Linked DNA regions of Saccharomyces cerevisiae S288C. Changing the gene in region 1 together with any one later gene gives a genetic interaction. Each region holds a gene or a part of one and is shown in the gene's direction. Other genes may lie near its edges.

Region 1 (3,478 bases):
TAAAAAAAATAGTACTGGTGATAACATATTCCGTCTGTTCGAAAAGACTTCCCCGGGTGGGCTAAGTATCTCTCCAAGGATAAATGGAAATAGTTTGAGATCGCCCTTCCTCGTCGGCACAGATAAAAGCAGGGATGATCGATATGCTGCTGGCACGTTCACGCCTAGAACACAGTTGTCACCTATCCACAAGAAAAGGGAATCCGTAGTTTCCACGGTCTCGACAATATCACAACTGCAGGATGACACTGAACCCATCCACATGCGAAATACCCAGAACCCAACATTAAGAAATGCAAACGCTTTAGCGTCATCAAGTGTACTACCTCCTATTCCTGGTTCCAGCAATAACACTCCAATTAAGAATTCTTTGCCACAAAAACATGTATTTCAACATACTCCCGTCAAAGCTCCACCAAAGAACGGAAGTAACCTAGCTCCGCTTCTAAATGCACCGGATTTAACAGATCATCAGTTAGAAATTAAGACACCCATACGAAATAACAGTCACTGTGAAGTGGAAAGCTATCCGCAAGTACCACCTGTCACACATGATATTCACAAAAGCCCCACTTTGCATAGTACGTCTCCTTTACCAGATGAAATAATACCTAGGACTACGCCAATGAAAATAACCAAGAAACCAACTACTCTGCCTCCGGGTACCATTGACCAGTACGTCAAGGAACTACCCGACAAACTATTCGAGTGCTTATACCCTAACTGTAACAAAGTATTCAAGCGTAGATACAACATAAGGTCGCATATTCAGACACATTTGCAAGATAGACCGTATTCATGCGACTTTCCCGGTTGCACCAAGGCGTTTGTTCGCAATCATGATTTAATAAGACACAAAATCTCCCATAATGCCAAGAAATACATCTGCCCATGCGGAAAGAGATTTAATAGGGAGGATGCTCTAATGGTGCATAGAAGTCGGATGATTTGCACCGGCGGTAAGAAATTAGAACATTCGATCAACAAGAAACTTACATCTCCCAAAAAAAGCCTGCTTGACAGCCCGCATGACACAAGTCCCGTAAAAGAAACTATCGCCCGGGATAAAGATGGGAGCGTCCTAATGAAAATGGAGGAACAGCTGCGAGATGATATGCGCAAACATGGATTACTGGATCCACCCCCATCCACAGCAGCGCACGAGCAAAACTCGAACCGCACCCTTTCAAACGAAACTGATGCTCTCTGACGAACATTTATCTATGCATGATATTAACATAATAAATAATAGTAACAATAATATAATACATTTATTTCTTTACGATTTACGTACACTGTAGTCTTAAGGGCCAAAAAAGGCAATAGTCATCGTTTATAGGGACATAACCCTAAAGGTTATATGCGACTCCTTCTCGAAAATGAAAATTTTTCACAACCTTTAGGGTACATTGCCCTTTAACTACTACAAACCAGCTTCACACATCCTTTGGTAAAACACAGTGTGACGATTTTAAATGACGCAACCTTTTGGGAGACACGATCTAAAACCCACTATATATGATGATACTGTTTATTGAATCATACACCCTGTTGGTTAGACCGGAAGAAAGCTAAAGTTGATCTCCGAAAATACAACGGTGCATCAACCAAAGAAAACATTGCAGGCGTTTCCAAGTGACACTGCATATTCGAAAGTATGGTTGATCTTATAGCGAGGGATGACTCCGTAGATACTTGCCAAGCTTCTAACGGCTACAATGGGCACGCAGGTCTTAGAATTCTGGCAGTATTCATTATACTGATATCGTCAGGATTGGGAGTTTATTTCCCAATTTTGTCATCACGGTATTCGTTTATAAGGCTACCAAATTGGTGCTTTTTCATAGCGAAGTTCTTCGGTTCTGGTGTCATTGTTGCCACAGCGTTCGTTCATCTTCTACAGCCCGCAGCCGAAGCTCTGGGAGATGAATGTCTTGGTGGCACATTTGCCGAATATCCATGGGCTTTTGGGATCTGTTTAATGTCGCTTTTCTTACTTTTCTTCACTGAAATCATCACGCATTATTTTGTAGCGAAAACGCTGGGACACGATCATGGGGACCATGGGGAAGTTACCAGTATTGATGTTGATGCTCCCAGTTCGGGATTTGTCATCAGAAATATGGACTCGGATCCTGTATCTTTCAATAACGAAGCTGCCTACTCCATCCATAATGACAAAACTCCGTACACTACTAGAAATGAAGAGATTGTCGCTACTCCTATAAAGGAAAAAGAACCCGGCTCAAATGTTACTAATTATGATCTGGAACCGGGAAAAACAGAGTCACTAGCTAATGAACTAGTTCCAACCAGTTCCCATGCGACAAATCTCGCTTCTGTACCTGGAAAAGATCATTATTCTCACGAAAATGACCATCAAGATGTCTCCCAGTTGGCCACACGTATCGAGGAGGAAGATAAAGAGCAGTATCTCAATCAGATACTAGCTGTTTTTATTCTAGAATTTGGCATCATCTTTCACTCTGTATTTGTGGGTCTTTCGCTATCTGTCGCGGGTGAAGAATTCGAAACCTTATTTATCGTTTTAACTTTCCACCAAATGTTCGAAGGTTTGGGTCTAGGCACAAGAGTTGCCGAAACGAATTGGCCAGAAAGTAAGAAGTACATGCCTTGGTTAATGGGATTAGCCTTCACTTTAACGTCACCCATAGCAGTCGCGGTAGGTATTGGTGTCAGACACTCTTGGATACCTGGCTCTAGAAGAGCATTAATTGCTAATGGTGTTTTTGACTCGATATCATCAGGAATTCTTATTTATACTGGACTAGTCGAATTAATGGCTCATGAATTCTTATACTCTAATCAATTCAAAGGACCTGATGGCCTCAAAAAAATGCTTAGTGCATATCTCATCATGTGTTGTGGAGCTGCTTTAATGGCTCTTCTAGGGAAATGGGCATAGTATCTCACGTATATTTTGTTAGATTAGATAGTTATTCATTATCAAAAAAAAAAAAATGCATGACCTATAATTTTACAACTGCTCTGCAGAGACGAGAGACATCTCGCAAAAAACAGCATATGTCAGCGACCAATAAGTATAAAAAACACATATTCCGTTATTTGGATATGCCCATTATTACCGAAGGGCAATCGGAATGACAATTTTTATGATTGGAATTGTATAATATACAGATAATTTAATCTATCCTTTTGAAGTGTGAAAAGGGCAGAGTAATGCCGGTATTATGTAGGATAATAGTTTTATTATATAACGGTCCCGAAAACTCTCTTCCTTGCACTATTACTCTCTTTCTCCTGTTGGTCATATTCGTCAACGAATTCGTAGTTATGCCTTAGATTCCATTGTTGCTTGACGAATTTCAACCCTTGAACATTAAAGCCTAGATCATCCTCGGTAGATTTTAATGCACTTCTTAATTCAGTCTTTACTCTATTTATTTGCAATTTCAATTCTTCATTTTTCTGAGAAACCAATTCTTTATGATTAAAT
Region 2 (4,808 bases), on another chromosome or scaffold:
TGATGCGATTTGCTAGCAAGTATTTTTCTGAACCCCATTATATATCTAAAAATGGCTATTCACAAACGGAAAAATCTAAAGTAATAAAAAAATAATAGTGTTAACAGAGAAGGTTTATCAGTAGCTAAAGCGAGCAAATTACTGGTTAACTTATCGTATTTTCCGTACTGTGGTGAATCTTATGCAAAATGAACCTGGCTTTGGCGGGAGTTTTTTTTTATGTGACACAATGGCCTTTTGCCGGTGGTAAATACGCGCTTCAAAAAGGTTGTTACACAGCGGCACATTAGCATGACACAATCTTGATCCTTTACAATTACTACACCGCCAAGTATAAAGCTTTTCCCAACCAACGTGTTTGCCAAGTAATTTTGTGTAGAGTGCGGCTGACTAACAGCCTTAACCGGGTACTCTGTTCCCTGCATTTGCATAAAAACTACAAAGAAAAGAAAGAAGGAAATACTCCGAACCAAAGAGATACAACAAGAATACTTCTCTCATTACATCGGCACCTTCCTGGGGATTAATTCCTTACAAGCGCTGAAAAAATGAAGAGATGATTCCGTACTTCAACAATGGCTTTTAACCTTATTACCCCAAGAGAGTGTCTACAGAATTAAGGCCCATTTAATTTTTACCTTCCTGTTCCTGCATAACAGACACCCCTTACCCGCATCAACAGGAGGGGAGGAAACATTGCCAATATGTCTGCGAATTGTGACAACCAATCCGCATGCACGGTGGGGGGCGGTTGAAAGCGCCTAGACTTCCCTTTTTTGGATTGCTACGTCACCTTCGCAGCGTGCACCAGGTGCATTCACCACACGAAAAGATGCGAAAGCACACCAAGCGCGAAATTCCGGTTTTTGGCTTGTTTGTTTCGGGCTCCGCCTCATCGTCTTAGCAAATCTAGACCTTGTTGAAAAATCGTGCAGGGACTCCGTACCTGCACAAGCAACGCGGCATAATACATGTAGGGATACAGCAAAGATATTGTTTCTGAATGGGCAAAACATTGCTTTCCGCAAACGGCTTTTTCTTCTCTTTCCCACCACCGTGGGTCACCTTTTTCTTGCGCCTCTTATGCCAACACACTCTTCCCGTGATGCGAATGGTAAAGAAGTTAACAAAAAACACAAAAAATTCATATTCCGATTTCTCTGCAAAGAAGCCTGAGCGGGAACTGCATGTCCGCTTGACTTGTCTTCCCTCCGGTTAGCTGTGCCTGCAGGGAAACCGCAGTAGAAGGACTGCGGAAGGATCTTTTCCCGCCGTTGATGTAATCTTTAAAGTTAATTTTTCCCTCACACAGTTTGCATTTTTCCCGCATGTTGTCCGGTTTTTCTTTCTTTTGTTGCTTTTTCTTCCGTGGGCCTGACGGAACATTCCAAGTTGAGTGCGATCTGACTAAGGAACTAGTAGAGGCTACCGCTCAGTAAGTTTAACAGTCGGCTAAGCATCGATCATCTCATTCTTTGCCTTCACTCAGTTCTTCGCAATAGTACAGTGCTGCGCAATAGACGCACGTATCAGTGATGTATTCTTTCTCTTGTCTTCACATAAAAAGTACGTAGATGTGTTGCCCGTTTGTGTTTTATTAACTTATCGAATGTGGCAAGCCGACGATACAAAAGAAAAAAGTTCATCTTTAACACTTCTTTTTGTTAGTTTTTGAAGTTTTTCCCCACTATCTTTTGCATTAGTTGTGTGTGCCTGTGCGTGTGTAAGCCTTCTAGTATAGTTGATAATCCTTTTCCATAGCTTTTTATATTGCAAGCAGAGAGATATCATTTTGTGCTGTTTTCATTAAACATACTTCACAATTGTATAAAAAAAAAAAACCTTTTTGATCTTTGTTTTCAGAAATTGAAAGTGGATTTGTTAAGCACAGTACAAAATCATCCTTATATAACCCTGGTAAGGTCCTTTTGTCATGCCCATCGGTAACCCAATCAATACGAATGATATCAAGTCCAACCGCATGCGCCAGGAATCAAATATGAGTGCCGTGAGCAATAGCGAAAGTACTATTGGCCAGTCCACCCAACAGCAGCAGCAACAACAACAATATCTCGGCCAGAGCGTTCAACCTCTGATGCCCGTATCCTACCAATACGTAGTTCCTGAACAGTGGCCGTACCCGCAATATTATCAGCAGCCGCAATCCCAGTCTCAACAGCAACTGCAATCCCAGCCTCAGATGTATCAAGTTCAAGAATCCTTTCAGAGTAGCGGTTCTGACTCAAATGCTTCCAATCCACCTTCCACGTCTGTAGGTGTTCCTTCCAACGCTACTGCAACTGCGTTACCGAATGGTTCTGCAATCACCACCAAAAAAAGCAATAACAGTACTAATATCAGTAACAATGTACCATACTACTATTATTTTCCCCAAATGCAAGCCCAACAATCAATGGCATATTCGTATCCACAAGCGTATTATTATTATCCTGCAAACGGCGATGGAACCACTAACGGTGCAACACCATCTGTAACCAGTAATCAAGTCCAAAACCCCAATTTGGAAAAAACCTACTCAACCTTTGAACAACAGCAACAACACCAGCAGCAACAACAATTACAAGCTCAAACGTATCCGGCCCAACCACCAAAGATAGGTAATGCATTTTCAAAGTTCAGTAAATCTGGACCACCTTCTGATTCGTCCAGTGGCTCTATGTCTCCCAATTCTAATCGCACTAGTCGCAATAGTAATAGTATCTCGTCCTTAGCTCAGCAGCCTCCAATGTCAAACTATCCACAACCTTCCACCTACCAATACCCCGGTTTTCACAAGACTTCGTCAATTCCAAACTCGCATTCTCCAATTCCTCCAAGATCATTAACAACGCCAACTCAAGGTCCAACCAGCCAAAATGGACCTTTAAGCTACAATCTTCCGCAAGTGGGTTTGCTACCGCCTCAGCAACAACAACAGGTGAGCCCGTTGTATGATGGAAATTCTATAACTCCACCAGTTAAACCCTCTACTGATCAAGAAACTTATTTAACTGCAAATAGGCACGGAGTGTCAGATCAACAGTATGACTCAATGGCTAAAACCATGAATTCTTTCCAAACAACTACCATAAGGCACCCGATGCCCTTAATCGCCACTACCAATGCCACAGGCAGTAACACCAGCGGCACTTCGGCAAGTATAATAAGGCCAAGAGTAACAACAACAATGTGGGAGGATGAAAAAACGCTATGTTATCAGGTAGAAGCTAACGGTATTTCAGTGGTAAGAAGAGCAGATAATGATATGGTTAATGGTACCAAACTTCTGAATGTAACTAAGATGACAAGAGGTAGAAGAGATGGTATTCTAAAAGCGGAAAAAATCAGGCATGTGGTGAAGATTGGTTCCATGCATTTGAAGGGTGTCTGGATACCGTTTGAGCGTGCCCTAGCAATAGCACAAAGAGAAAAAATTGCTGACTATCTTTATCCCTTGTTCATCAGGGATATTCAGAGCGTATTGAAACAAAATAATCCAAGCAATGATAGCAGTAGTAGTAGCAGTAGCACTGGTATTAAATCCATCAGTCCGCGTACCTATTATCAACCTATTAACAACTATCAAAATCCTAATGGTCCTTCAAATATATCTGCTGCTCAGCTGACATACTCCTCAATGAATTTGAACAACAAAATTATACCCAATAATTCTATACCAGCTGTAAGTACAATCGCTGCGGGTGAAAAGCCCTTGAAAAAATGCACAATGCCTAACTCTAACCAACTAGAAGGACATACTATAACTAACCTACAGACCCTTTCGGCAACAATGCCGATGAAACAACAACTGATGGGCAACATAGCTTCACCCTTATCGTATCCACGCAACGCCACAATGAATTCGGCAAGTACATTAGGCATTACACCTGCAGATTCAAAGCCTTTGACACCTTCTCCAACTACAACAAACACAAATCAATCATCTGAATCAAATGTGGGAAGTATCCATACAGGAATCACCCTTCCAAGAGTGGAATCTGAATCGGCATCACATTCCAAATGGTCTAAGGAAGCAGACAGTGGGAATACTGTACCAGATAATCAAACATTAAAGGAGCCACGATCTAGTCAATTACCAATCTCCGCATTGACTTCGACGGATACTGACAAAATAAAAACAAGTACAAGCGATGAAGCAACACAACCGAACGAACCTAGTGAAGCAGAACCTGTCAAGGAGTCAGAGTCATCCAAATCACAAGTTGATGGAGCTGGCGATGTCTCCAACGAAGAAATTGCTGCTGATGATACAAAAAAACAAGAAAAATAGAACAACTATGAATTCCTTGGATAATTATGTTACTTTAATCAAAACCCTACCGCCCACATATATGTACATACGTTATGCATGAGGTGGACTCATGTTATAAATGACATCTATCACGCCTATAAGATAGACACATTGAACACTTCTTTCCTTTGACGTAATCTCTTTACACGTAAAAACTTCGTTATTTCCGCGGCGCGGTTGTGAACGTGGGAGGTTCCCCGGAAAACATCACAAGCAGCTGCTCGTTCGCGCATATGGGCGCCCACACCCCACACCCCTGGATTTTTTAAACGAGAAACTCGTAAAGAGACAGTGTATTTGTTCCGCAATTTCCGGGGCGGGTAATATTTGTTACCATAGTTCTCGAGAAGGTTTCCCTCGTTTAAGTCTGCGAAGTCTCGTACCTTTTATCGCTGCTGACAAAACATAGCCCAAACCTGCGTCTATATGCTGCCGGTGTTTATATCGCTATTGAAGAGAGCTCATGTTTCGGTTTTGAAAAGATTTTTTATCGAAT
Region 3 (4,050 bases), on another chromosome or scaffold:
TCCTTCTATTGCAATCTGCTTTCTCAAACGACCTGCATCTGTATCACAGCCTTTCATCAAAATCTGTCTCGACAAATCGGACTTAGGACAGATTTGAGTTCCTGTGTAGTGTGCAACTTCAACATCACTAACCCACTTTGGATCGAAAACTTTACTAGCTGCACCGCTAAAAAATAAATCGTTCAATCCACAAAAGCCAATGGCGTCAACACCAGGTATAGCCACTCTTTTATACAGTTCGTGCAATTTGGTCGTGTAAGTACTCACGACGTCATCATCGACCCCAATACAATCGGAGAAAACATGGCCATCACTAACTATCCAAATTTTCATACCCGGTGGATATATCTTGACAAGGTCTTGTGTGGCTTTTATTAATCTTTTCAAAGCGAGTTCTTCGCCTTTGTCAGGAACGGAACCGTACACTTTTTGCTCATTAGATGACTTACATGGAAACGCTGGCAAGATGCATTCAATTCTCAAATATCGATCGGTAAAATATCTTGAACGTTCAATAAAATAATCACGGCCACCAAAATTCCATTGATCATTAACTATTGTGTTTTTCAAATTTTTCTCAAAAAAATCTGCAAATAATTCGTGATACTTAACTTCTTTGGTTACAATTGGATGTTCACTTAGAGATAATTGAGATTGGTCTAAAATATGATATACGAACCAGTTATTGAAAGAATTTTCATTCTCAACTGTTGTAACACACCCACGAATCTGGCGTTCGTCATCGCGTGTATATTCAGAAATCTTTATTGCCACTCCTAAATTATTGGTAAATTTATTTGCTAAAGAAGCTGGCAAAATTCTTTCAGAAACCCGTCCACTTACTTCGGATTCAGAAAAGTCCAGATTGTGAATAGTGTTGATAAAGTCGAGCCATTGGTCTCCAAATTTACAATTCTGTTTTTCCTCTAAAGAGTAAAAATCGTCACATTTGTCGCTTCTGCAATACAGGGCCAGAAATTTACTATATGTAGACAAATCGGCCCCATTATGGGGAATATCAATATCTTTCAACGTATCAGTCGATGAAGAAAATGAAGAGGCAGGTGGTGATATTGACTGCTCGGAGCTTGAGGGCAAGTTGCTAGTAAATGTCATTTTTGTTAATGTCTCGACAAAGCTTTACCGAATTAGGATATTAACAAATTGTTTATTTAGTCAAGACTTTGCGGAGGAGCACAATTTATGTGAAAATTTATTTCAATATTTATACATCATTTTTGATTCTGAACCTATTTTCAGAAATTGTTTTACAACATCGTAGGGCAGGCACTATGCCCTTGCAAATTTTATGATATACTGTCCACTGAAAGCAATGCAATCAAAATTCAAATAAACTCCTGAGGGGCCAATAATATAAGGATTTTTAGCACGCGACGTCTGGGATTGAGTGCCATGTATGTAAAGACGAGCAATTACTTTATGTTCCCTTATTTGTGAGGGGTTCCTGGTTTGCTTTTTTCGATCAATTCTCCTGATATTATTGAGTAAATTAGACAAATTGTTAGGAAACAACAAATTCCGATGCTTACTTACCCCTTAAATTTTCTCATTGCTCTTCATTGAGGTTGCATACCTCACCATATTTGTCATAGAAGGTCCCTTAAGGCGCCTTTTTATTTTTTCTTGGCAAGAGAACCCTTTTATTTATGGCCAGACGCGCGTCGCAAAAAAAGGTAAACATCAATAATTTTCCTTCCAGGGACTCTCAATAAAAAGACTGTAACTTGTATTATCAAATTGAGAAGCAATTACGTATTCCACCCCTCATTACTTCCCCGATACAATTTATTTTCACTTCTTTCGATGAATGCAGTGATTTCTATCTTTCCCGAAAATTACAAGCCACGGACCACAAGAGGAATGACTGGTCATCCTGATGCGAATAGTATATTAGGTAGTGCAAAAAAATACATTAATTTTCTTGAAATATTTTCGTTTTTTCAAAATGGTATTTGATTCAGACTAAGAGAATAAATCGAAAAAAGCATTAAAAATGGAGTTGTTAAAGCTTCTGTGTTTGATTTTATTTCTTACTCTTTCCTATGTCGCCTTTGCAATCATTGTCCCACCTCTAAACTTTCCCAAAAATATACCCACCATCCCATTTTATGTAGTATTTTTACCAGTAATATTTCCCATTGATCAAACGGAGCTATACGATCTTTATATTAGGGAATCAATGGAAAAATACGGTGCTGTAAAATTTTTCTTTGGTTCACGGTGGAATATTCTCGTTTCTCGTTCTGAGTATCTAGCACAAATATTCAAAGATGAAGATACTTTTGCGAAGAGCGGTAATCAAAAGAAAATCCCATACAGTGCTCTTGCCGCTTACACAGGGGACAATGTCATTAGCGCGTATGGTGCAGTTTGGAGAAACTACAGAAATGCTGTGACAAACGGGCTCCAACATTTTGACGATGCACCTATATTCAAAAATGCAAAAATTTTATGCACTTTGATAAAAAACAGACTCCTAGAAGGACAAACTTCGATCCCTATGGGACCTTTATCCCAGAGAATGGCATTGGATAACATTTCACAGGTTGCCCTTGGATTTGATTTTGGTGCTCTAACACATGAAAAAAATGCTTTCCACGAGCATTTGATTCGTATTAAAAAGCAAATATTTCATCCATTCTTTTTAACTTTTCCATTCCTTGATGTTCTTCCTATTCCTTCAAGAAAAAAAGCCTTCAAGGATGTTGTTAGTTTTAGAGAACTTCTCGTTAAAAGAGTTCAAGATGAATTAGTCAATAATTACAAATTTGAACAAACTACTTTTGCTGCCAGTGATCTAATTCGTGCTCACAATAACGAAATAATCGACTACAAACAGTTGACCGATAATATCGTCATTATCCTTGTCGCTGGCCATGAAAACCCGCAGTTGCTATTTAATAGTTCACTCTACCTTCTAGCCAAATATTCAAATGAATGGCAAGAGAAACTCAGGAAGGAAGTAAACGGCATCACTGATCCAAAAGGCTTAGCAGATTTACCCTTATTAAATGCTTTTCTCTTCGAAGTAGTAAGAATGTATCCTCCTTTGAGCACAATTATTAATAGATGTACTACCAAAACGTGCAAGTTGGGGGCGGAAATTGTTATACCCAAGGGCGTATATGTCGGGTACAACAACTTTGGAACCTCACACGATCCCAAAACTTGGGGCACAACAGCAGATGATTTTAAACCAGAAAGATGGGGTTCAGATATCGAAACCATAAGGAAAAACTGGAGAATGGCGAAAAACAGATGTGCTGTGACTGGGTTCCATGGAGGCCGAAGAGCATGCCTAGGGGAAAAACTAGCCCTAACAGAAATGAGAATTTCTTTGGCTGAAATGTTGAAACAGTTTCGATGGAGTCTTGACCCTGAATGGGAAGAAAAATTAACTCCCGCTGGGCCTCTTTGCCCTCTTAATTTAAAGTTAAAATTTAACGAGAATATAATGGAATAAATATAAAACATGTAGAATTGTATATATACGCATATATGTATACAATCGCGACAACTTTTAGTGAAACTTCTTTGTATCCAGTGAAAATGAAAGGAACAGAACCTGACCAAAGGTCAGTAGAAAAAAAAAAAGCCTTTTATAGAAGTTCTTATCCAATCGTTGACATTTTGTCTGCTCTATTTAATGCTTCAAAAATCTGATCCCAAAAGTACTGGATATTCAAATCGAGACCAATTATTGTACCAACATCACTGTCATTTGGATATTCTTTTTCAATGATAATTTTCCCTGAGTTTTCGTTGAAAACATCATCAATGCAGGATATGTCCATTCTCTTGTAGCGAAATCCAACCGCAGACGATGGATCCCACCCATAAAATTCCAAAAGCGGCATCAAAGCTACCGGATCATGTATAGGTGGGCCCGATTCAAATCCTTGCATATCCTTGTAGGTATGAGCAAAAAATTGAAAAAGCTCCAAAAACAATTCTCGTAACTTGCTGTTATTCTTTTCGTTGTATATCATTTCGTTAACCTTGTAAGTAGCTATGGCCTTGTGAGTTAAA

What was found.
Region 2: mutations in ZRT2 (region 1) and SOK2 together harm fitness more than expected from each alone (negative genetic interaction), as found in Saccharomyces cerevisiae (2 studies listed by BioGRID).
Region 3: mutations in ZRT2 (region 1) and DIT2 together harm fitness more than expected from each alone (negative genetic interaction), as found in Saccharomyces cerevisiae (2 studies listed by BioGRID).

The regions. Positions count from the first base shown.
Region 1 is NC_001144.5:402,242-405,719, reverse strand, and holds ZRT2 (low-affinity Zn(2+) transporter ZRT2), read left to right. Parts: upstream 1-1,657; coding exon 1,658-2,926; downstream 2,927-3,478. Other genes in the region: DNA-binding transcription factor ACE2, read left to right, coding at 1-1,210; snoRNA-binding rRNA-processing protein DIP2, read right to left, coding at 3,232-3,478. UniProt on the Saccharomyces cerevisiae protein: Low-affinity zinc transport protein. Active in zinc-replete cells and is time-, temperature- and concentration-dependent and prefers zinc over other metals as its substrate.
Region 2 is NC_001145.3:302,719-307,526, reverse strand, and holds SOK2 (Sok2p), read left to right. Parts: upstream 1-1,933; coding exon 1,934-4,291; downstream 4,292-4,808. Other genes in the region: SPO20 (Spo20p), read right to left, coding at 1-38. UniProt on the Saccharomyces cerevisiae protein: Plays a general regulatory role in the cyclic AMP-dependent protein kinase-stimulated (PKA) signal transduction pathway by regulating the expression of genes important in growth and development. May inhibit the switch from unicellular to filamentous growth.
Region 3 is NC_001136.10:1,271,668-1,275,717, reverse strand, and holds DIT2 (putative cytochrome P450), read left to right. Parts: upstream 1-2,014; coding exon 2,015-3,484; downstream 3,485-4,050. Other genes in the region: DIT1 (Dit1p), read right to left, coding at 1-1,116; URH1 (trifunctional uridine nucleosidase/nicotinamide riboside hydrolase/nicotinic acid riboside hydrolase), read right to left, coding at 3,633-4,050. UniProt on the Saccharomyces cerevisiae protein: Involved in spore wall maturation. Thought to catalyze the oxidation of tyrosine residues in the formation of LL-dityrosine a precursor of the spore wall.